Arabidopsis thaliana: one gene and its partners. The protein of the gene in region 2 interacts with the protein of the main gene of each other region in a pairwise test. Each region holds a gene or a part of one and is shown on either strand. Other genes may lie near its edges.

The links.
Region 1: the proteins of HB32 (region 2) and NIMIN-3 interact in binary tests that used the Arabidopsis thaliana proteins (3 or more experiments, as listed by UniProt).
Region 3: the proteins of HB32 (region 2) and IAA9 interact in binary tests that used the Arabidopsis thaliana proteins (3 or more experiments, as listed by UniProt).

What each region holds. Positions count from the first base shown.
Region 1 is NC_003070.9:3,035,816-3,042,172, reverse strand, and holds NIMIN-3 (NIM1-interacting 3), read left to right. Parts: upstream 1-3,764; 5' UTR 3,765-3,924; coding exon 3,925-4,263; 3' UTR 4,264-4,419; downstream 4,420-6,357. Other genes in the region: ACLA-3 (ATP-citrate lyase A-3), read right to left, coding at 1-38; G6PD4 (glucose-6-phosphate dehydrogenase 4), read left to right, coding at 458-559, 794-998, 1,085-1,332, 1,430-1,524, 1,609-1,723, 1,855-2,060, 2,141-2,249, 2,349-2,383 and 4 more; AT1G09410 (pentatricopeptide (PPR) repeat-containing protein), read right to left, coding at 4,613-6,357.
Region 2 is NC_003070.9:5,044,783-5,051,569, forward strand, and holds HB32 (homeobox protein 32), read left to right. Parts: upstream 1-2,999; 5' UTR 3,000-3,263; coding exon 3,264-3,770; 3' UTR 3,771-3,971; downstream 3,972-6,787. Other genes in the region: AT1G14686 (ENTH/ANTH/VHS superfamily protein), read right to left, coding at 999-2,018; AT1G14688 (E3 ubiquitin ligase), read right to left, coding at 4,872-5,052, 5,138-5,256, 5,378-5,431, 5,979-6,097, 6,162-6,201. UniProt on the Arabidopsis thaliana protein: Putative transcription factor.
Region 3 is NC_003076.8:26,249,314-26,258,482, reverse strand, and holds IAA9 (indole-3-acetic acid inducible 9), read right to left. Parts: upstream 5,076-9,169; 5' UTR 4,592-5,075; intron 4,537-4,591; exon of another isoform or gene 4,348-4,536; intron 4,060-4,347; 5' UTR 4,021-4,059; coding exon 3,479-4,020; intron 3,384-3,478; coding exon 3,157-3,383; intron 3,045-3,156; coding exon 2,903-3,044; intron 2,750-2,902; coding exon 2,688-2,749; intron 2,393-2,687; coding exon 2,349-2,392; 3' UTR 1,939-2,348; downstream 1-1,938. UniProt on the Arabidopsis thaliana protein: Aux/IAA proteins are short-lived transcriptional factors that function as repressors of early auxin response genes at low auxin concentrations.

The DNA.
Region 1 (6,357 bases), 2.0 Mb from region 2:
CTCTTGGAGTCATATTCTCTGATCTTCTTCCTCGCCATCGAATTACAAACAGTGATCGTCCTCAACACTAAACCACGGAAAGTGTTTCTCCGCCTGAAGTAGCTGAGAAGAAAAGGTGACAATTTTCGAGACGATAAGATCGATGAAGTTGAGAAGAAGATGATCTCACCAACTCAACGATGACGCCGACTCGGCGGGACCAGAAGAGACGTTGACGTTGAGATATCGAAAGTCAACCTACCCACCCCCGCCTAAACCACAAATTCAATTCTCTTTCCTCGAGAACCAACCGGTACGGTTCGGTTTAGAAGAACCCGACGATTATCTGAAAGTTGGAACCATTAATGGAGGCGTCAATCAGAAAACTTAAACTTGCACTCGTCTTCCACTTTGATCCACTTAAAGCAGCTTTAAAGCTTTGAACATGTTTAGCTATAATCCCTGAGGAACTATCCTCATGTCTCTCTCCAGTTGCTTGCTTCCCTTTTCTCAATCAGCGACGGCTCCGTCTTCCTCCGTCTGCTCTTGCCATCTCGCCGCCTCTTTTTCTAATTTTCCGGTAAGCACATGTATTCGCTCTACCTTTCATGCATGCTTTCGTTTTATCAAAAGGTCATTACTTTGAGAAACAAAGATTATTATTTTTCTTGGATTATGCTAATGTTTTCTGCAATCTCACCAAAGATCTCAAATTCGTGTTACATGCCCTCTGAATCTAAGCTTTAGTATATTATTGACCTTCGAAATCAACTTGATTTCTAGTTGTTGAAATTTCTCTATTTTGTGTGAATAGGTTTCGTCAAGAGACTATAGTTTCTCCAGAAGTGGAAGCCTTGTTCTCAACGGAGGAGGCTCGAATCTCTGCCGGAGATTCTGTGGTTTGAAACTGTGGATACTTAAGAGCTTGAATCGTAGACAAGGCAACAACAGAAAACATCAGCCTGTAAACGAGCTTACAACACACTCAAAGCACACTTTCCTCAGCGATGATGAACGAGGTCTAGTTCTAAGATATGAGTCAATTTACATCTCATGTCTTCACTTGATCATTCTTTAGCACTTCCTGAGGTAGAATGTGATGCAGGTTTTGCTGAAGAAACTAGAGCTGAAGATTTACGACCAGAAGAGAATATTCTGGGAACGGATTTGAATGATGGGTTTCACAATGTTGGAGACTTACCACCTGTGTCAAAACAACTCTCGGATGATCTTTCAGATGTTCGAAGAAGGGCCTCACTTTGCATTGCTGTTGTAGGAGCCACTGGTGAGCTAGCAAGAGGGAAGATTTTCCCGGCATTGTTTGCGTTGTATTATAGCGGCTACCTTCCTGAGGTATGACTTTTGTGCTCATGAACAATTACAAAGTAAGCAGCAAAACAGTTGGATAGTTTTTTTCGGTTGTCTTCTTGATTGGTCTTCATTGTCACAGGATGTTGCTATATTTGGGGTTTCAAGAAAGAATCTGACAGATGAAGACCTCAGATCCATCATTGCATCAACGCTGACTTGCCGTGTTGATCATCAGTATGTATAATTCTTGGTACTACCTTAAATTTGGTATCTCTGATATACGGCCGTGCTAGCTAAAGAATGATGCTAAATGTTCAGGGAGAATTGTGGGGGCAAGATGGATGCATTTCAGAGTAGAACATACTATATCAATGGAGGTTATAATAACAGGGATGGGATGTCCCGACTTGCCGAGAGAATGAAACAGATTGAGGTTCCTAAGTACCTTTTTTTCTTTCTTTCAATGATTACATTTTGTCCCAGAAGTAGTCCTCTTTCTGAGTTTACAACATTTTGAACAGACAAGCAAGATAGAATAAGACATTAACAGCTTTTCTTCTTCAGGGAGAATCAGAAGCAAATAGAATCTTTTACCTCTCAGTACCTCAAGAAGCTCTGGTGGATGTGGCATGCACCATTGGAGATAACGCTCAGGCACCACGAGGCTGGACTCGAATAATAGTTGAGAAACCTTTTGGTTTTAACTCACATTCGTCTCATCAGTTAACAAAGTCACTTCTCTCTAAGTTTGAAGAGAAGCAAATCTACAGGTCCTTCTTTTAAATCTAGTTGCTTTCTGCATGCACAGCTCTCAAGTTCATATTTCTTCACACTTCTGTGCCCGTTACAGGATAGATCACATGTTAGGAAGAAACCTCATTGAAAATCTGACAGTGTTAAGGTTTTCAAATCTAGTTTTTGAACCACTATGGAACAGAACATACATACGCAATATACAGGTAGTGTTTCCTTCTGATTGTTTGTAGTTGTGTATAGTGCCTGAACTTTCCTCTTCCACATTCTGGTTTGTTCACTTTGTGTATAAATGATGTTTCCAGGTTATTATATCAGAATCAATTGCGCAAACAGAAAAGTAAGGCACAATAGTTCTATTTTCACCATTTCTTTGCATGTGAGAGTAAATTGTGTTGTTTCAGCATTCTTAGACAAATCAGTAATGTTATTTTCTAATTTCCTACTGCTTTTTTTAAGGTTTTCTGATGGATATGGAATAATACGGGACATAGTGCACAGCCATATACTTCAGACAATCGCATTACTTGCCATGGAACCTCCGATAAGTCTCGATGGTGAAGATATCCGAAATGAAAAGGTCAACCTGTACTGTAAAGAACAAAATCGTCTTATGGTATATATGTAAGTTGTGTACTCTTGTTCTGTCAAGTGACTTGGTGACAAACCTGCTTCTGCAGGTGAAGGTTTTAAGATCAATTCGCAAGATAGACCCGCGTGATGTCATCCTTGGCCAGTATAAATCCAGTTCCCGAGACAAGAACGGTGTGATCTTGAACGGTGTAGACCCTACATATTGTGCAGCAGCCTTGTATATTGATAATGCACGTTGGGATGGTGTACCTTTCCTTGTAAGAGTTGGCACTGGCCTCATTAAACACAGGTAAGAATAATTATTCCTACTCATAGACATATCCAACTGTCATAACAATTGATTGGTGTGCCTTAATGTTGAAAGAGTGGAGATTCATGTGCAATTCCGGCATGTTCCTGGAAACCTATACCGAGAAAATATTGGAATAAACATAGATTTGGGGACAAATGAGCTTATTCTACGTGACGAACCTGATGAGGCCATCCTGGTGAAAATCAACAACAAGGTTCCTGGTTTAGGTCTTCAGCTAGACGCTTCTGAACTTAACTTGCTCTATAAAGACAGGCAAGTTTTGCATTCTCATCTTTGTTCCTACACATTTTAAAAATCGAACTTTTGCGCCTTATGGTTGGTTGAATTGTTGGATCAAACCTGTAGGTATAAAACCGAAGTACCAGACTCATATGAACACCTAATTCATGATGTAATTGACGGAGACAATCATCTGTTCATGAGAAGCGATGAGGTTGCAGCAGCATGGAACATTCTTAGTCCGGTTCTAGAAGAGATAGACAAGCATCACACAGCTCCGGAGTTGTATGAATTTGGTGGACGAGGACCAGTTGCGGCATACTATCTTTGGGCCAAGCACGGTGTCCCATGGGCAGATGACTGAAGAAGAAACATAGATGCAGCAACAAACAAATGAGAGTGATTCTGAATGGTTATTGTGAAGTGTGTTTGTTTAGCTTGAAGCTGTGCCATTCCCTGTAGACTGTACATATGTACACATGTATGTCATGTTGCTATATGAATGTCCATCATGGTGGGGTCCATAATAGTGTTGAAAAGTCTCCAAAGCCACCCAAAGGAAAGAAGAAAGTCTGAGAGACTTTTAGATAAGGTCATGTTGTTAGTCTTCCCACTAGAGGCAATAATTATATCTTCTCCACCAATTCCTCCAGAAAATTCTTCCAGATGTATCATGTGTTGATGATCAAAGTAGGATGAAAATGATGTAACTAAAGAGAAACATTTTCATAGGGGAAGGAAGAGAGAGCGGTTCAATGGACAGAGACAGAAAGAGGGTGAAAATGGAGAAGGAAGATGACGAAGAAGAAAAGATGGAGAAGTTGTACACAGTGCTTAAAAACGCAAGGGAAATGCGGAAATATGTCAACAGCTCCATGGAGAAGAAGAGACAGGAAGAAGAAGAAAGAGCAAGGGTTCGTAGATTCCCTTCGTTTCAGCCAGAAGATTTCATTTTCATGAATAAAGCAGAGGCCAACAACATTGAAAAAGCAGCTAATGAGAGCTCTTCAGCATCCAACGAGTATGATGGCTCTAAGGAAAAGCAAGAAGGATCTGAGACTAACGTTTGTTTAGACTTGAATCTTTCTCTGTAGCATACATACATACAAGAGACAAAGAGCTCTTCAGTTTCTGTATAAGCAACAAAGAATGTTAGTAACTACGTACCAAAAACAAATGTGTCATGGAATTCTAGTTTTGCTTGAAGATTGTTCATCACTTCTTATTAACCATATTGAAGAAAATGCTACAAATGCACATTGATAACAAGATCAGTAAAAAAATATATATATATTAGCAGAAGAACTTAGAGAGAACTCTCATCAATGGCTGAGCAAGTTCCTATGGTTTGCGAGAATTACTCCATTTTGCCAACGCTCCAACGAGGATTGATAGCTAAGCCTAAGATTAAAAAAAAACATTCTGCTTGGCATTTATTGAATCTCACCAGTAATCTTTACAGGAACACTCTCCGTTTCTGAAGTGATGGAATCTGTTTGCATCTCTTAGAATGATCTCCCTCTCTTTCACCTTAGAGATTATTTTTATTGCTGTGTGGCAATCACTACAAACTCTAAGGTTCTTCATGACTCGGATGGGTATTCCTTCAGATAGCTTTAAAAGAGCATAAGCTACCGCTAGTCTCTCGCTATGATATTTCAGGCTATTGACTTTCTCTTCCTCGTCTACATCGTGCAATGCATAGCTGCAATCAGGATTATACCCGGCTTCTCTCAATAACCCATCCAATTCATCCAGTATCTTCAAAATAGATTCCTGCTCGGGATGGCTATTAATACCCCCACGAGTGAATGCATGCACCTTGTTCTCGACTTCAGTCCAGCTACAACCTGGTGATTTTCTTACCAACCTAGTCTTCATAAGTTTTCTCAGTTCTGCAACGTCAGCCCACCTACCTTGAGATGCATACATGTTGGAGAGCAAGATGTAAGTCCCAGAATTCTCCGGTTCAATCTCTATGAGTTTCTTCGCACAAAATTCTGCCACATCCAGCTGCGAGTGAGTTCTGCACGCTCCTAATAGAGAACCCCAAACTGCAGCATCTGGTTCGACAGTCATACTATCAATCATTTCCATTGCCTCATTAAACCGTCCTGCACGCCCAAGCATATCTACCATGCAAGCATAATGCGCGGTGATTGGCTTAACCCCAAAAACTGATTCCATAGATTCATAGATCTTAAGCCCTTCCTCAACCATCCCAGCGTAACTACATGCTGAGAGAGTTGCAACGAAGGTGACTTCGTTAGGCTTAGTACTACCAGACAAAGGCATCTCACAGAAAACCTTTAATGCTTCCTCTCCAAGACCGTGTGAGGCATAACCAGATATGATTGAATTCCACATGATAATGTCCTTTGAAGGAAACCTGTCAAATATTAGTTTAGACTTCACAAGCTCGCCGCATTTAATGTACATTGTCATTAAAACAGACGCAACATACACATCAACATCAAATTGACATCTAACCAACTGAGCATGGACCTGTTTACCATGGTGGAGGCTTGCTAAGCTGGCGCAGACCGAAAGAATGCTTATCAATGTTGGAAAAGTGGGTCTAACTCCCTGTTTCTGCATCAGAATAAATAAATCAAGAGCCTCCAATTCAAAACCGTTTCTTTCGTGAATTTTGATCACCGTTTGCCAAGATGCATCATTTCTCTCCTTCATTGAATCAAAAACCCTTCTTGCTTTTGCTATCTCTCCTTTCTGTCCAAGCCCGGAAATCATAGCATTACACGCAATAACTGGCTTCACTGGCATAACTTCAAAAAGTTCTTCAGCATCCTCAATTCGCCCATTCTGTACATAGCCCATAAGCATGGAAGTCCATGAAACTTCAGTTTTCTCTGGCATCACATCAAAAATCTTCCTAGCATCATCCACACGATTGTTCTGCCCATATCCTGTGACCATTGTAGTCCAAGTAATCACACTTCTCTCTGACATCTCATCAAAAATCTCTCTTGCCTCATCCACTCTTCCTTCTTTGCACAATCCATGAATCATACTAGTCCTTGCAATATTATCTTTATCCGGTATCATTTCATACAGCTTACACGCATCATCGATTCGCCCATCTTGCAAAAACCCAATAAGCATCACAGTCCAAGAAACCTTATTCTTCTCAGGCATTTTCCAAAACAACGACTCTGCCACATCAACCT
Region 2 (6,787 bases):
TAAATATAGTGAAATATTGGTTTGAGTTTATAATCAAGTTTAGATTTTACAAAAAAATGAGGTTAAATGTCGGTTGGGGTTTATAAACAGATTTAGATTTTATAATTAAACAAAGTTAAATATCGGTTTGGGTTTTGAAAATATGGTTAGAGATTAGATTTTACAATTAAACTCGTTTAAATGTCGGTTTGGGTTTACAAAAGAGAATTAGGGTTTAGATTTTGTAATTAAACTAGATTATGTATGGTTTGGATATATACTATAATTATTAAAGTTTAGATTTTATAATTAAATTATTTTTATTTATTTATTAGATGACATCTAATAAAAGAGGATGATAAAAGGGTTTGCCCCTAAATCCAAGTATTGTTCATAAATTAATGTAAAAACAAAATTATTTGGATATATTCAAATGTTAATTTTTAAAGATCGTACATATATTTTGTGAATTCTATATTATTTACACTTTCATATGGTATAATCTAACTCTGATTTCAAAACCAAATAGTGATAAAATATTTTAATCCAGGTTGATTCTAGTTATGCTACGTCATACCCACACTTACCTTGCCTCAATTATGCATCTCAAGCTTTGGAGGATAGTTTTGTATTTCCACTCATCAACATGGTTACTTACTACATTATGAGTATTATGGTGTTACTTTCTTAATATTTTATTGAAAAAGTGATATTCTTGCAATTGACCCAGAAAAAATCTGCAGGGAAATTTATTTTTTTGTACTTTTTTTTTTTCTTCCTTTTGTTATCTTTTTATAAACATTTTACTGACTTGTAACAGATATTCTTTTAATTAAATGTTTTTATTTTTCAGATTACCTTTATTTGTACTTATATATAGTTGAAAAACATACTAGAATTGATGTCTGAATAATCATTAACTAAAGGAAGTATAGCTTTGTCCCAAGCGCGAAATTAATTTGAATGTGTACCATATGAACAATAACAACAATCGAAATTAATACAGAATATAATCATAGTTAAAAGCTAATTAAGTCTGGAATATCAACGACAACAACTCTCGGAGGAGAGGCAGGAGCTTCCTCATTATGATCAAGTGTTATCAAATCAGAAAGCTTCGTCTCTATCTCTTCCTCTTCTTCTTCTTCTTCCTCAGCAATCTCTGTTCTCTCCGCACTTTCCTCAGACGACTCCATCGCCGTCCTTACGAGTTCATCGAGATGAATCACATCCGCTTCAGGAATCCTTACGAAATTAGGAATCTCTTGAGCATTAGAAACTCCCAAGTCTTTACAAAACTCAAAATACTTTTTTAGCTCTCCTCCTTGCTTCATGGATTTAGCAACAATCTTCAACGCCAAGTCTGCCTCTGTTTTACCTATCTTGGAGTGCACGTTAGGTAAAACTTCAGCAATACGACGACAAATCCAACCGTAAATCTCCATAATCTCACTAACCACATTCTCCATAGCTTCATTAATCACAGGTATCATCATGTTTTCACCAATCGGTTTGATTCTAATCAAAGAATCAACAATAATCTGCATCTTACGAATAATCACAAGTCGAATCAGAACCGATGATTCTTCGTTGTATCGATGACGATTCCCATCGTGAAACAGAATCGATCTTCGATCAAGAAACGCGAAATAAGCACGTACGAAGAGATTAAACCCACCGGATTTGCTCATAATCCGTGAATTACCTTCGCCGAAACTCGAAAGATCGAAAGGTAACCGTCCGATCGATTCTGCTACGGTTGATTTACAGAGGAAGAAGCCGTGCATTAGCATTAAGCCTTTTAAAGCAACCGCCCAGCTTCGCGTGCGTTTCACGCGAGACGAGATTAAGCTTACGAGAGGCTTGAGGCTTGACGGGCTAGAGAGAACGTGACGGTAGATGAATTGAGCGCTCTCTGTATCAATGGAGAGCTCGTCGTGGCTTGTAGCTTTCACAACGGCTGCTGTGAGAATGTCATCAGCCGCGATGAGACTAGGTCCGTCTTTGAGAACTACGGCGGCGCGTTTCCAAAGCTTCATCTTCCGACTAATGTGTGTGGTTTCAAATTGTTAGTTTCTATTTCGCGCTTTATAATTTTCATTTTAAACCGTGTTTTGTTTTCTTTGATGTCAATTCTTTGCTGGTTTAAAACGAATTAGATAAGGATAAGCTAAAATTAAGAAATCTCAGTTTTGACCAAAATAAAAAAAGATATTTTTGATGTCGTTACTAAATTATTATCTTCCATTTTTCAGTTTAACTCGATTGATTACGTAATAAGTTCATTAGATAAGTGTTGTTTGGTTGGCTTTTCTATATGTTTCGTTGATTTTGTTTTGAGGCAATTTTCTAGTGTAGTAGTGTTGTAATCGTATATAATGTATGTGGTTTGAGCAAGTCAAATTATGACTTTGTTTGTACAATATGGAAATATACATATCTTAATTATTAATGGTGTGATTGATATCGTTAAGCCGTAAAATAATCGTTTAGCTTGCTAAATTACACACAAAACATAAAGTAGGCAAATGAACATATACGATAGTGAATAGTCAACTCGTGGGTCACACAATTGCTTTTTTGCTAAACCTCTTAAAAGAAAGCGTTTCAGACTTCTTTTTGCAATAAAATCAGATTCTTTGAAAACTTTTGATCTTTGCTTCTTAATTATAGTTTCATTTTAGTTACAATATATTATTGATATTTCTCAATTTTACAAAATTAGTTTCTTAAATCTTACTTTTATAAATCAAAATACTTCTACTTATTTAGAAACATGTGACCTCTATACAATCCAAACTTATTAAATTTGTTTATACCTATATTAAAAACTTATTACTAATATATTAGTACTAGTTTACTAGTACTAATTAGCCGCTATAGTTTTACAAAAAGTGGTTTAGTTTTCTTATTCCTCATTATTGCTACTACACTTAACCCAATGGATTGAAAGAGTTAACTATGGGTAGAGATGACAACTTTATGAGCTGAGAGGATACGAAATTATGGATGTGTAGAAAAGCAAAGCCAGTGAAACAGTTCAAAAAGTGGGTTTTTCACATTTATTATGACAACTAATAAACACGTAAGTACAAAATCTTAAAGCAAGTAAGTAACAATAATTTTTGCTCTTTTTGTAACTCCCAACTCTTTCTGACACAAAAAAACACCATATCATAACTTAAGTAACCCAAAACCAAACTCTTCCAAAACAAACCCTAAACGCAAAAATCATTACTCAAAAAAAAACAAAGTCTCTCTCTTCTAATTAGAGAGCCAAGAAGATGCAGAGTACTTGTGTCTACAGAGAATGCATGCGCAACCACGCCGCGAAGCTCGGCTCTTACGCCATCGATGGCTGCCGTGAATACTCTCAACCATCCACCGGCGATCTCTGCGTCGCCTGTGGTTGCCACCGCAGCTACCACCGTCGTATAGACGTCATATCTTCTCCTCAAATCAATCACACGCGCTTCCCGTTCACGAGCTTAAGGCGCGTGAAGCAGCTGGCGAGGCTGAAATGGAAAACGGCTGAGGAAAGAAATGAGGAGGAGGAGGATGACACGGAGGAGACTTCGACGGAAGAGAAGATGACGGTGCAGAGGCGGAGGAAGTCAAAGTTCACGGCGGAGCAGAGAGAGGCGATGAAAGATTACGCGGCGAAGTTGGGATGGACGTTGAAGGATAAGAGAGCGCTTAGAGAAGAGATAAGAGTCTTCTGTGAAGGGATTGGTGTTACTCGTTATCATTTTAAAACTTGGGTTAACAATAATAAAAAGTTTTATCACTAACTAATTAACTAATATCCTTAATTGAGATAATACTATAATTTAGTTCCAATTTCATTTTCATCCCTTCTGTGTTAATTTCTCCTCCTTGATCGCTTATTTTAATGGATTATTATTTTATCATTAGTGGGTTTAATGTGTTTGATTTGGACATGTCCTTAATTACTAACTGGTTCACTCTTTAATTGGTCTTTATGATTCTTCTTTTTACGTCGGTGGGATTTGAGTTTTGACAAGACAACTAGCTGACGTTTTATTTATGGTCAATACTGTTCGCCAATCAGAATATTTATACGTAATAATATTGAAGTAGTTGAATAGTAGTACTAATTATTATGGGAAAGGATGGCAAAATGACATTTTGTTTTGATAGAAAATTGTAAAGATTACATATCTAATTCTAAAATTTGTAAATAATTAATGGTAAGATATATTTCACGTAATGAAAAGACAATTAGTTACGGAAATAACACAACATTGTGTTTTTTCGAGGTTTGTTACTAAAAATTATAATGACATCATCAAAGCCAATAAAAGCTGTTATGCTTTTTTTTGTAGAAATAGTCATTTCAAAAATAATTTTTATACTTTTTGCTTTTTTATAAAGTCGTAAAACCATATACTTAAAAGTATATACCAATAAAATTGTGAACTAATTGATTCATAAAATTGTAACTTTGCTACCATTATACCAAGCATCCCATTCCCACGAAAGTTTCAACTTTAATTGGGCTTTTGTTGGCATTTCAAGGCCAATAAGAACACCTTTGAGAAAACTAAAAAACATAGCTCTAGTCTACAATTATTCTAGTGTTTACCTACTGATTTAGAAAATGATTAGGATTTAGGACCAGGTTAACTAAAACCAGAGACAGTCTTGCCCGGCTCGATCTGAACCAAGCTTGCCCGTAATCTCAATCCAACGTACAAAAAACAAATAAACAAAACTGTATAAAAAAGTTTCACCATACAAATTGTAGACATGATTACTTGATTAGATTCAAATACTCGTTAAGATTTGCCTAAACACAGATTACAAGTGTGTTTTGTGAAATCAATTCGTTGCGTAATTCTTCTCCCTGAGACTTTTCTTGCCAGAAAGTCCTAGAAATCACTGATGTCGGTATCTTCGCTGTCTGAGCTACCATTCTGTGAACTGCTGTCACCTAAGTCCTTTTTCTTCCACACGAATGGTAACAAAACCTTTCTTGCATAATCCACACCGTACACGACGGCTATAGCCACAGCAATAGATCCGAAGATCTTGGCGAGTATTACACAAAGCCTGCAAAAATAACACAACAAAATATGATTCATCACCTCACCTCCCAAAGTAAGTGTATAACAAAAAAACATGAGTCTGTCCTTACTCTGACTGTGACTTCATGTTATTAACCATCTCATCAAAGGAGCTCTCTTCACTAAACACTATTAAAGACTGTTCCTTGGATTTTTGAATCATGAGATTACCAGCTTTGTCTCTAACAGCCTATACAACAGTACAACAGAAGAGGGAAAAAAATGTAACTGAACTAACCGCTAAAACGCCACTCTTGCAGGATCCACATTTCCTGAATAAAGAAACAAGTCAAAAGGAACACTTCCTTTACCTCACCAACAAAAGTCAAAGAGGTACCAACTTTAAGAGCCTGCCCAAAGATAACCTAAAGAAAAACATCACGTTGTTGGTTTCAACTTTCAACACAAGGAATTAGAGGTTTTCTAGGGAACAAAACAGAGAAGGAGAAAACAATGAAGGAACAAAGAACCTTAGAGCCTTCTTTGGGTGAACAAAGACTTTTGAAGGATTCACCAAGTGATTTTACTTCATACGGTCTTACAATTTCATTAAAACCTAGAGCACCTTCAGCTCCCACTACATTCACCCGACCCGTACTGTCTTCCTAATTGTGTGTGTGAGACACACAGAGAGAGAGAGACAACAAATCAAGAAGGCAGGCTTAAGTCGTGGGTGGGGGGGGGGGGGCAAGAAATAGCAAATGAGTTGTATTTTACCAGATACCAAGGAGTCTCCTTTCGTTGTAGAAGAAGATTTACAGACTTGTTTATCAAACCACCATCTTCCAACTTGTTCTCATAAACCACTTTGGCCCGAAGACAGTATATGTGTTATGACTTATGACTACACACCACCAAACCAGAGAATTTAAGCACACATGATTGCCAACTTTACAAAAAAAACAATCTTACCGTATTCTCAAAAACAACACCCAAAAGATCACCATCTTTGGAGTTAAAGGTTGTTGCAGATGCAACTCTTCCGGATACCAAAACAAGAAGATTCGTTGTTTTTTCTTTAAGCAAATCATCTGAAAACACAAAAATAATACAATAACTGGTTCACATTGTAACCTGAAAGGCTGAAACCAATACAGAATGAAGTAGGCTTTGAATTCCATACTAAGAGAAACATACCTAACTTTTTTAAGTCAATAACGCGGGTAATACTGTTAAAATGTTCAAATCTCCTGCACCATCCCAAAAGCAATCATACATTGATTGATTGATTTATTAAAAAAAAAACATTCAAATATGCAAAAAGGATTGGGATGAGACTACTAAACTCTTTAATGCTCTCCCCCCAAAGATAAAATACTGTGGCACATGTAACACATATAGCAAGTCCTTCAAGCATTTGAAAAAAATTCAAACAAGATTTTTGCATCAAAACGATAATAACTTCCTCCACAAGTTCTGCATAACATGATCACAAACACAAAACGTTACACACCCTAACCTAATCGAACCTCTAAAAGTCCCACCACATTCCCAAAAACAATTATGCTAGTTGAGAATAAGAAGCAACTATTTTAAAAACAATAACAAACAATGATTACGAAACAAAGGAAACGAGAGACGTACTGTCGAAGATTAGGAACCTAGGAGAAATAGCACGAGAGATCAATTGCTTAAACCCTAGTGTCTCTCAAGTCTCAAACCTCCGAGCAAAAAGTGTCTTTTTCCTTTCTTTCTTTTTTTCTTTGCCAGCGAAATCATCA
Region 3 (9,169 bases), on a different chromosome or scaffold from region 2:
CTTATTAGGCTCTTGATACCATGTTAAGAATGTAATGACTTATATTATACGAATAGCTTTACACAAGTATATATACAAGTACAGAGGAGGCTACACTAGGGTTGTACAAATATAGAATGTTCCATAAAGGAGATAGAGGAATATTATGATATTAAAGAGAGATGATCCTATGTATCCTTAACAAATCTAGTTTAGTTGGATTTGATTTAACATTTGAAAAACTTGTATACCAACTTAATTCGAAAACTGTATGGAAGATTTTGAATGTCCTAACACAATCACAATTATTGTATATATATACTTGGTCTGTCCGGACAAAACTGCTAATCAAACCTTTCAAAGAAAAAAAGGAAAAACCAAAAAAAAAAGAACTTAACTAAACAATAAATCAATAATAATGCTGATACGATATATTTTGTCCATATATATGAGATCGTAAATCTCTCCCATGACTGATAACTGATAAGAAATCTATGGATACCATCAATTCGGTGGGTTTGTTGAAGGTCTACCAAATCGAAGAAACACACATTCATTCTCGTAATCGTACGTATATTCATTTATCTAGCTTCTTTTATTTGAATTTTTACGCAATATGCAATTCGATTCGTAGACTCAGTTGAATATAATTGACCTAATACCTAATGCTTATAACTAAATATTATAGATACTATTCTTGAATGCAACATTGAGATGATCAAATCATTTACATTTACAATCTTATTTTTCTCGTTTGATGAAGAAATAATTTTGGGGAACAACCATATATAGATGAGTGATAAAGGTATTGCCACGTTCCATTACTGAGAAGCATAATTCAATTCATATCTTTTGGAGACAAATTCGACATGTCATTCCCTAAGTCTATTTCATATATTTAATTTTAAAAACATTGAATATTACTATATAGTTTATCAACTTATATGGATGTATATAGTATGTCCCATTCGAATAAGTGCATCAAAGCGAAACGAATTAAATGAGATTCACGACCAATGATTGTTGTTTATGTGTATACTATTAAGTTCACGTGAAGCTAGCTACAAGAATCACAGATATATACTACATTATTTGGATTAAAGTTTTAAAGTAACAAGAGTGATTTAAATTCGACCCGTAGGTTCTCTTAAACTATGAGAGTACTATATGAGTCTTTAATTATCTTGATCGAATATATGCCTTGGAATTGATTAATTAACGCCTCTTTGAAAAATTGGACAGTTGAATATAACATTTCATTTTAGGTGGGGTTTAATCATATTGTTTTGTCAACGCTAACGGAATTATTAAAAATGAACAATAAATGATATCACAAAAATAATTTTCATAAAACAAATAAGCAAACCACCATTGCCAAACCCAAAGAGGCGCACTATGCTTCCACCTTCAGGAACAGAAAAATAATAAACGTTCCTTGAATGAGAAATGGGAAATTAGTATATGGGAATTTATGTTCATGTATCTTTGACTATTTTTCTCTCAAACGATATTATTCGATACTATTAAACTATAGTTATTCACTAAATCTAAAACTGATTCGTTGAAATTTATGATATCTTCGTTTGGGGATTGTACTATATAGTTATCATGAGTTTGTACGCAGCCCATGCTTGCTAAGGTAAACAAAGTTTCATGGAAGGTTAAAAAGTGAAATAATGATATCAAAACCTTTTCCCGGCGAAATTACTTTTATTTATCTTTGATTTGTCTTGTAGCTTTTGGTTCTTCAGGTGAATTATTCAAGTTGGTTTAAAGATCCGTTGGTGGCAATGATTTGGTAGCACAGTTTAGTTATGACAGTTATAAAAAGATTTTTTTTTCTTTCTGATTAATCTTGATATTCCATTTAGAATAGAGTCATAGACATTGAGAAAAACGTAGGTTTACCACTTCCGCATTCAAATGTGTTAGAATTTAACAATCCACCTCAAAGATTTAAGTACTGATTAATATTTAAGATTGTTTTGCAAATGCAGAAGAAGAACCTCCATGTTCAATGATAGAAAGCCAAATCGTAAAACCGGATTGTCTATCTTCTCTTCTCGAGAAGAAGCAAAGAAGAGAATAACAAAAACGTTACATCAAATAATATCTCAAAGGTAGAAGTCAACCACACATCCAAATCAAACACAAAACATAAAACAACGACCAGTTTACTGACTAAAGCAACAAACAAACAACAAAAATAGATCATTTTTAATTCTTCTTCATTTCCTTACATTCGTAGTCTTACTTACTTCATTTTAAAAATTCAGAAACTAAAGATATTGATGTTTTGAAATTTAAAAACACCACCAAAAGATCGCACATATTTTGTATAGTTAGAAAGCTTTGTCATGTTCCATCTTTTAAGCTCTCATCTTCGATTTCTCCATTGCTCTCGGAGCTGCAGCTGCAATATCACCAGTTCACCACATTGAATCATTAAGACATTTTGAATCAGAGAAGACGAGTGATCAAACATGAATTGAAATCAGTTTAATTTCGATTTTATTTACATGTTAATTTGTTGTATTTACTCCCAAAAGAAGACGAGTGATCAAACATGAATTGAAATTTCTAAATCAGCTACAAGTAACTCACACCAACAAACCACTAATCTCATCATACACACTACTTGTAATCGGTTTTAGTAGAGATAGTAGTTTACGTTGTAGCTTAGGAGCAGAGAGAAGAATAGACTTTACCTAACCCAATAGCATCACACCCTTTCATTATCTTCAGCTTCTTGCAGACATCAATAAACATCCTGTAATATACATCGGATCAGAAATCACTCATGAGCGCTTATACCAATCACCATGATATAATCTTCTATGGCATGTTAGATTTGATTCTAAGATATCTGGCAGAGAGTAGAGAAAGCTTCTAACAAGTTTTGAATATAAGAGAGGAAACTTACTCCCACGGAACATCTCCAACAAGCATCCAGTCACCATCCTTATCCTCATAAGTGAGCACATAGTCTTTTCCATTCAAAAGATCCTTGAGCTTGGTCTCACTAAGCATATCCTTCCCAGCAGCTCCATTAGATCCACATTGACCTAAACATCAAATAAACAGTGCAGGTTAACTACTTTGACTGCACTCATTCATTGATCCTTAAATAGAAAGAGGTTTTCAAACACATCACTAGCAATCACTGAAACATCTCACCAAGAGTGAAAGTGGTGAACATTTTCTCCAAGGCTGAAGAAAGCTCCCCGTAGTTAGTGTAGCTCCTCAGGTCAACTTTCCTCAGATAAGGAGCACCATCCATACTGACCTTCACGAAGAGAGCCCCAGAACCTGGCCTCCCATCAACTTCGTCACTGTTCTTACAAGTAGTGGCCAATGTGTTCTTCCTGTAGGATCTCACTGGAGGCCAACCGACAATTTGTGCCCTGAAAATTCCAGAATCCGAAAAAACACCAGTTAGCTAGCTGTTGAAAGTAATCCATATCAAAATCGAACGAATGCTCCTATCTTCTATTCATACTTGGCTGCAGGTGGACTAGAGCTATTGTTTGTAGTGCTAGACTGTCCTTTGGGTATGTTTTGTGGCACATCTTTCTTTGTTACAGACTGGGTGGCTGCTGCTTCAGGGAACATCCAGTTTTTCTCAGTATACACTGAACTTTTAGCTTCAGCAAACTGATCCATTGTGTCAGAAAAGCCTCTTTTGTTTCCCGATGCATTGTTCTTTTGCGAGGAGGAGCATATCTCATCTTTAGAAGGAAGCAAAGGAAAGAATGGCTTCTCATCTAGCTTTGCTGGGCTCAAAAGGTTAAGCTCTGTGTCTCTCGCAGGAGATTGTGATCCAGGAAGACCAAGTGTCAGCTCCGTAGCCTTGAGGCTGATAGTAGCTTTGTCATCTTCAGCAAGGGGAGAGAGAGTAGAGCTTCCAACAGAAGAACAATCAGAGAGACCCAAGTAGTTATGCTCTTTAAGTCCTCCTAGAGTGTTCCTGGAGATGCAATTGCTAGTAGGTGAAGAACTAGCCACCGATACATTGCTCTGTAGCTCCTCTTCCGGGGACATTGGATACTCAAGGTTTCTTTAACTGCAAAGCTGCTTTACCTGATGATTTACACAGCACAAAGTCCTCCACATTAAATTCACATAACCATAAACAAATCCTCAAACAAAACCCTAAATTACCAGAAAAAATCAAGAACTCAATTTCAATCAAAATTCGAAGAAACTCGAAACCGTATCAATTAGGGTTTCAAAAGTAGATTGCATCTATGAAAAACTCACAACCAAAATTTAGAGCAAAATAAAGCTCAATCTGAGAAAAAAATGGAAAGCTAAAAATAAATAGAAGTCAACTTAAGGTCAGATGAAGAAACTACACCGTTGAGTTACATTTTTCGAGCTGATCTCAGATTTGAATTTCCACAGAATTCTATCTACAAATCACTAAACCTAGCAAGGTTTAAGCCAACAGCTCAAACAAACCAAAATTCGCCATAGAAATAGTGAGGAAATCAGCAAAGAAACTCAATAGCTAATAGATCTAATAACTACTAACTACACACACAAACAACAACAAGCTAAAAATTACCGGATTTGAAACTATGTATAAGAAGAACAGAGAAGACATAATTACCTCAAACGGAAAAAACAAATCCTGGATGAAAAATGGAAGCTCACAACGAAGAAGAAGAAGACGATCAAAAATAAGAGAGTCTGAGATATTTTGGAGAAGAAGAGTATAATTTTTAAGAAACTGTAGAAGATGAATAGCAAAGAGAAAGAGAGAGAGAAGTGTCAAGGTCCTTCCATTAAAGCAGAAAAAAGCTTAATTATCATTACCCAGAAACTCGTAGCCGAGATTAAAATTAAAATAACTAAACAAAGTGGTAGAATAGAAAATAAGTGGAAAAAGTTGCGTATTTTTATTTACGAATGGATTCTAATCCAACGGCTCAGATTTGATCGTGCTGATAATTCTAAACCGTCGGATTTAAATCAGCAGATATGAACCGTTGATGTACAAATGTCGGGAGTCGGATCTTTAAACAAAATTATGCCACTTTTCTGGCTCCACCCGAAAGGGGATGGTTGTCTGCAAATATTAAATTCCGATTCTATCCTTTTGTTTTTAATGACTAATGTAACCTCTATGTGATGATAATGTGATTGAGGAATGAAGGGTAAAATGGTAAAGAGAGAAAAAGAGGAGTGAGGAGGGGACAAGAAAGCGGCATTCCAAGTCGGTTTGCCGGGTGGTGAATGGGACATCTAACCTCTTCCACTTTCTTCCTTTCTCTCTCTATCTCTACTTTATTAATCTAAAATTAATTAAGACTTGTTAATCTTTTTTTATAATCACTTTCTTTCTTTCGGATTAAATTTAATTAAATTCCGCCACCTTCCTAATTTCTTTAACTTTCATTATTACGTTTCCTTATCTTTCAATTTTTTTTACTTAGATTGGCCCAACTGGATGGGGCCCATTGAGAAATGTTAGTCCCCCCAAACTTGAATTTTTCATTTTGCTTTTTTTTTTTGGTTTGGCATTCATTGTAGTCTTCTAGATAGATGAATGGGTAAATAGTATAAGTAACTTTAATAATGACTATAGATTAATCTTTTTCATAAGGTTACGTCACGTGCTAGATTTTTGTTTTTTATTTTTGTTGAATTTGCACTTAAATAAGTAAACTGATTGAAACAAAATTATAGTCATGACAAAAATTAGATACATACAAGTTTGTCCGAATTGAGTTTAAAAAAAAAATCTCATTTTTTGAAAGTATAATTTGTGGTGTTATTGTTAGAAGTACAAAATTTGAATGTGAACAACATACATATTTCTGGAGTATTAAATATGTCTGAATTGCACTGTTACGATCATCATACACAACGTTTAATCCATAGTAATAAGGATGATTGGTTAAAAAGTAAAAAAGTAAATTCGTTGGTAATAAACAGGTAAATTATGTATGTTAATTTTTATAGTCGGTTACATTCTTTTCGTGTTAAAAAGAAAAAAAGAAAAAAATTATAGTCGGGTGTAATATACATAAAAAAAATTACTGTAAAAAATTCAAAGTAATTAAAAAAGGAAGGTAATGGGAATTGGGGAAAGGGGAGCATAATAATAACAAAAGGGGTGAAATGGGATTGAAGAACACGCATGGGAAGCACAAAATATCTCAATCTGACCGTAGGATTTGATGGTAAGAGAGTAAGAGAGGCCTGTGTCCGTTCATCATCATCATGACCTTCTCTGACTCTTTTTTTTTCATCATCACTCTTCCGTACCACTCACGTTATCTCTTTTTTACCCCTCTCTATTCTTTTTAACCTTTTTTCTTTCCTTTTACCAAAGATTTAAAGACGATTAATCAAAAAAAAAAGTCTTTAACACCTTATGCACAAAGAGGAAAGTAAAAGAAAAATATTCACCGTCCAGAATAATAATACGGCATTTCTTAACCTTCCCCGTAAAAAGTTTTGATTTTCTCTTTCTCATATTTTGTTTAATCGTCTGTATAATAAGTAAAGGATATTAATTATTTCAAATTACTACAACTACCATCAGACATTATATTTAAAATTATGAGTACATGAAAATATGTGTCTAATTAAAAAGTGATTGGTAAAAAACAATAATAGTAATACAGATAAATTATTACAAAAATGCAAAAGTAAACAGTAGATCAGATTAGCAGCATTTGCGAGTACAAATAATGCGGGTTGAGACAAGACAATGAGACCCGTAGTGCTTTTGTCCTTCACGCTTATTTTATTAGTCTTTGATTGATGATGGATTCACTAAAGTTAATTAATCTTTTTCCCCGTAATTAATTAATTTATAATTAGAGTGGAGGAAATCAAACGACAAGACACGTTAGACTGTTTACTTTGGGCCCAGACTTTGCACTCTAGTATATAAAAATTCATTTATAATTGGGCTTTTATTTCATATTATAACATAGGCCCATAAGCCACTATCCTTCTTGATGGGCCATAATATACTTACCTCTCTCGTATTAAGGATTTGTTGAATTTATAATCTACGTGTTGACCCCAAAAAAAATGTAATGTACGTAAGATATTTCTTCGTTTAGTCAGTCATGTTGCTGTCAACGTTTTTATAATTCTTTGTATCACAATTTTTTCAATTTTTTTTTAACTAGAAATACACAAAAACAACTAATTATTTATTGCAAATTGTTATATGTTTTATATGTCTCAATATAGGGTCAAACGACGAGCTACTAAATCGGATTTGCACAACAAAATAATATAATTAATTTTATCGAGTTCGTAATAGGACAATGTACCGAGCCGTGATCATCAATATACGAGAGAGCCATTAAAATATATTTGACCGAAAATCAAATACACCTTCGAGTTTTCACATAAAACCTCCGTCAGATATTTCATCCCTCGCAATAAATTACTACATAAAGATAACATTTTAAATTACATGTATATCTAGCTGTATATGAATTAGATATAAGAAAAAGAAAAAAACGGTTTCTTTTTCTTTCTATGTATAACACCTGTATTTGTACATATCGCTTAGGGTCTTAGTCTATATCAACATGGTCCCATACAGCTTAGTTTTTGCTTGTGGAACAGGTTTGGATTTTTCTACAACATAAGAGCTTATATTATAAATGCATATTAAGTCAATTTCTCTGTTTAATCAAATCTTTTTGGTTCTAGAATTGATGTCACCGAATCGCTATGTATCTTTGATTAGATTGGAGAAAAGACAGATTTGCGTCACTCTCAAAACAAACCCAACAACATGCTGCATACCTCATTGAAATCGTTATTAGTAGATAATAATTTGTAAGTTCATTTTTTGGACTAATTAAAAAGTTTAATGTTATTATGTTAGATATATATTATAATGGTTATTAACAACGTTTTAAGCAAACACACAAGTTGTGATATAAAAAGTGTAGGATCGTGGGGTTTAGGGTTTACAATTATAATGGTTAAAACACGTTTTATAGAATTTTTTGTTATTGATAGAAAAAAAAAAGTGATATAAAAAAGTGTAAGATGGGTTTAGTGGATATACTCATTGACCCTAAAAGAAACGGCGGTGACAAATTCAAGACCCATTCACAGTTCACACTTCGCACACACATAGATATAGATATTTTTATTGTGATTACAAGTTAAAATAGCAAGTCTACTTCCTAATAGAAATTCCTTGTATTTCATTTTAGAAATTTGAAACCAATTTTCTATAAACTCAATTGTACAGTATATGAAAGTAAGCACAATTTAAAAAGAAAAACTGAAAATAATTGTGCTTACTTTATTTTAGTTTTCGTCAATAACAGTGTTTATAGATGTTTGCATATGAAAGATCGTATCTAATCTTACTAAGAAACTTATAAATCTCAAAGATAATTGTTATCTTGTGTCAAATTTCGAAGAGGAACTAGAGCATTACATGGTGTGAATGTGTAATAAACTAACCATGCTCTTATTGCAGAGAAATCTATTCTTTATTGAACAAACTGGAACGTTTACAACATTTAAACATATAAAGAGACATGTAGATTCCAAAGGAACAAGTACAAGATATACATGAATCTAATAATATACATTATAGAGATCGATTATTCATTATTATCCAAAAACGCTGTTTTCAAGATGGACGGATGGAGTTAAAACCAATATCTGTGTACATAGAGGAATAATCTGATCAAGCATTAACACAATTAACTCGTAAAGCACCATTTTGAATAAGGCCGCCCAACTTATGTCATAATCTACCTCAACATGTGTTTTTTTTGTTAGTGAACCTAAACATGTGTCATCCTAGAATAGAAGATTGGATTAGCACAAAGATAACTAGCTTATACATAATCAACTTGTCGCAATATATAAATGAGTGAAGCATATGCGGAAACCGAGCTTAGACATATGGGATGATGATAACCACTAAACAAGTTAATGTAACACTATCCTACTATCCTTACACTTTTATGTCTAAATGAAATCTGTTTTAAAAAAAAAAAAAAAACAGAAACAAATGTTCCTATTAAGAAAATAATAAATAAATATATAAATTTGGAATAACTGATTTTTGGCGGTATGTATAATTAAAACTGCAAAGACAAAATACAGCTATACCTAAAATTATAAGTCAGGATCGAAGTAAGAGGTTTGTCAAATTCGAATTCCACACGGCAGCTACTCTTTTGTT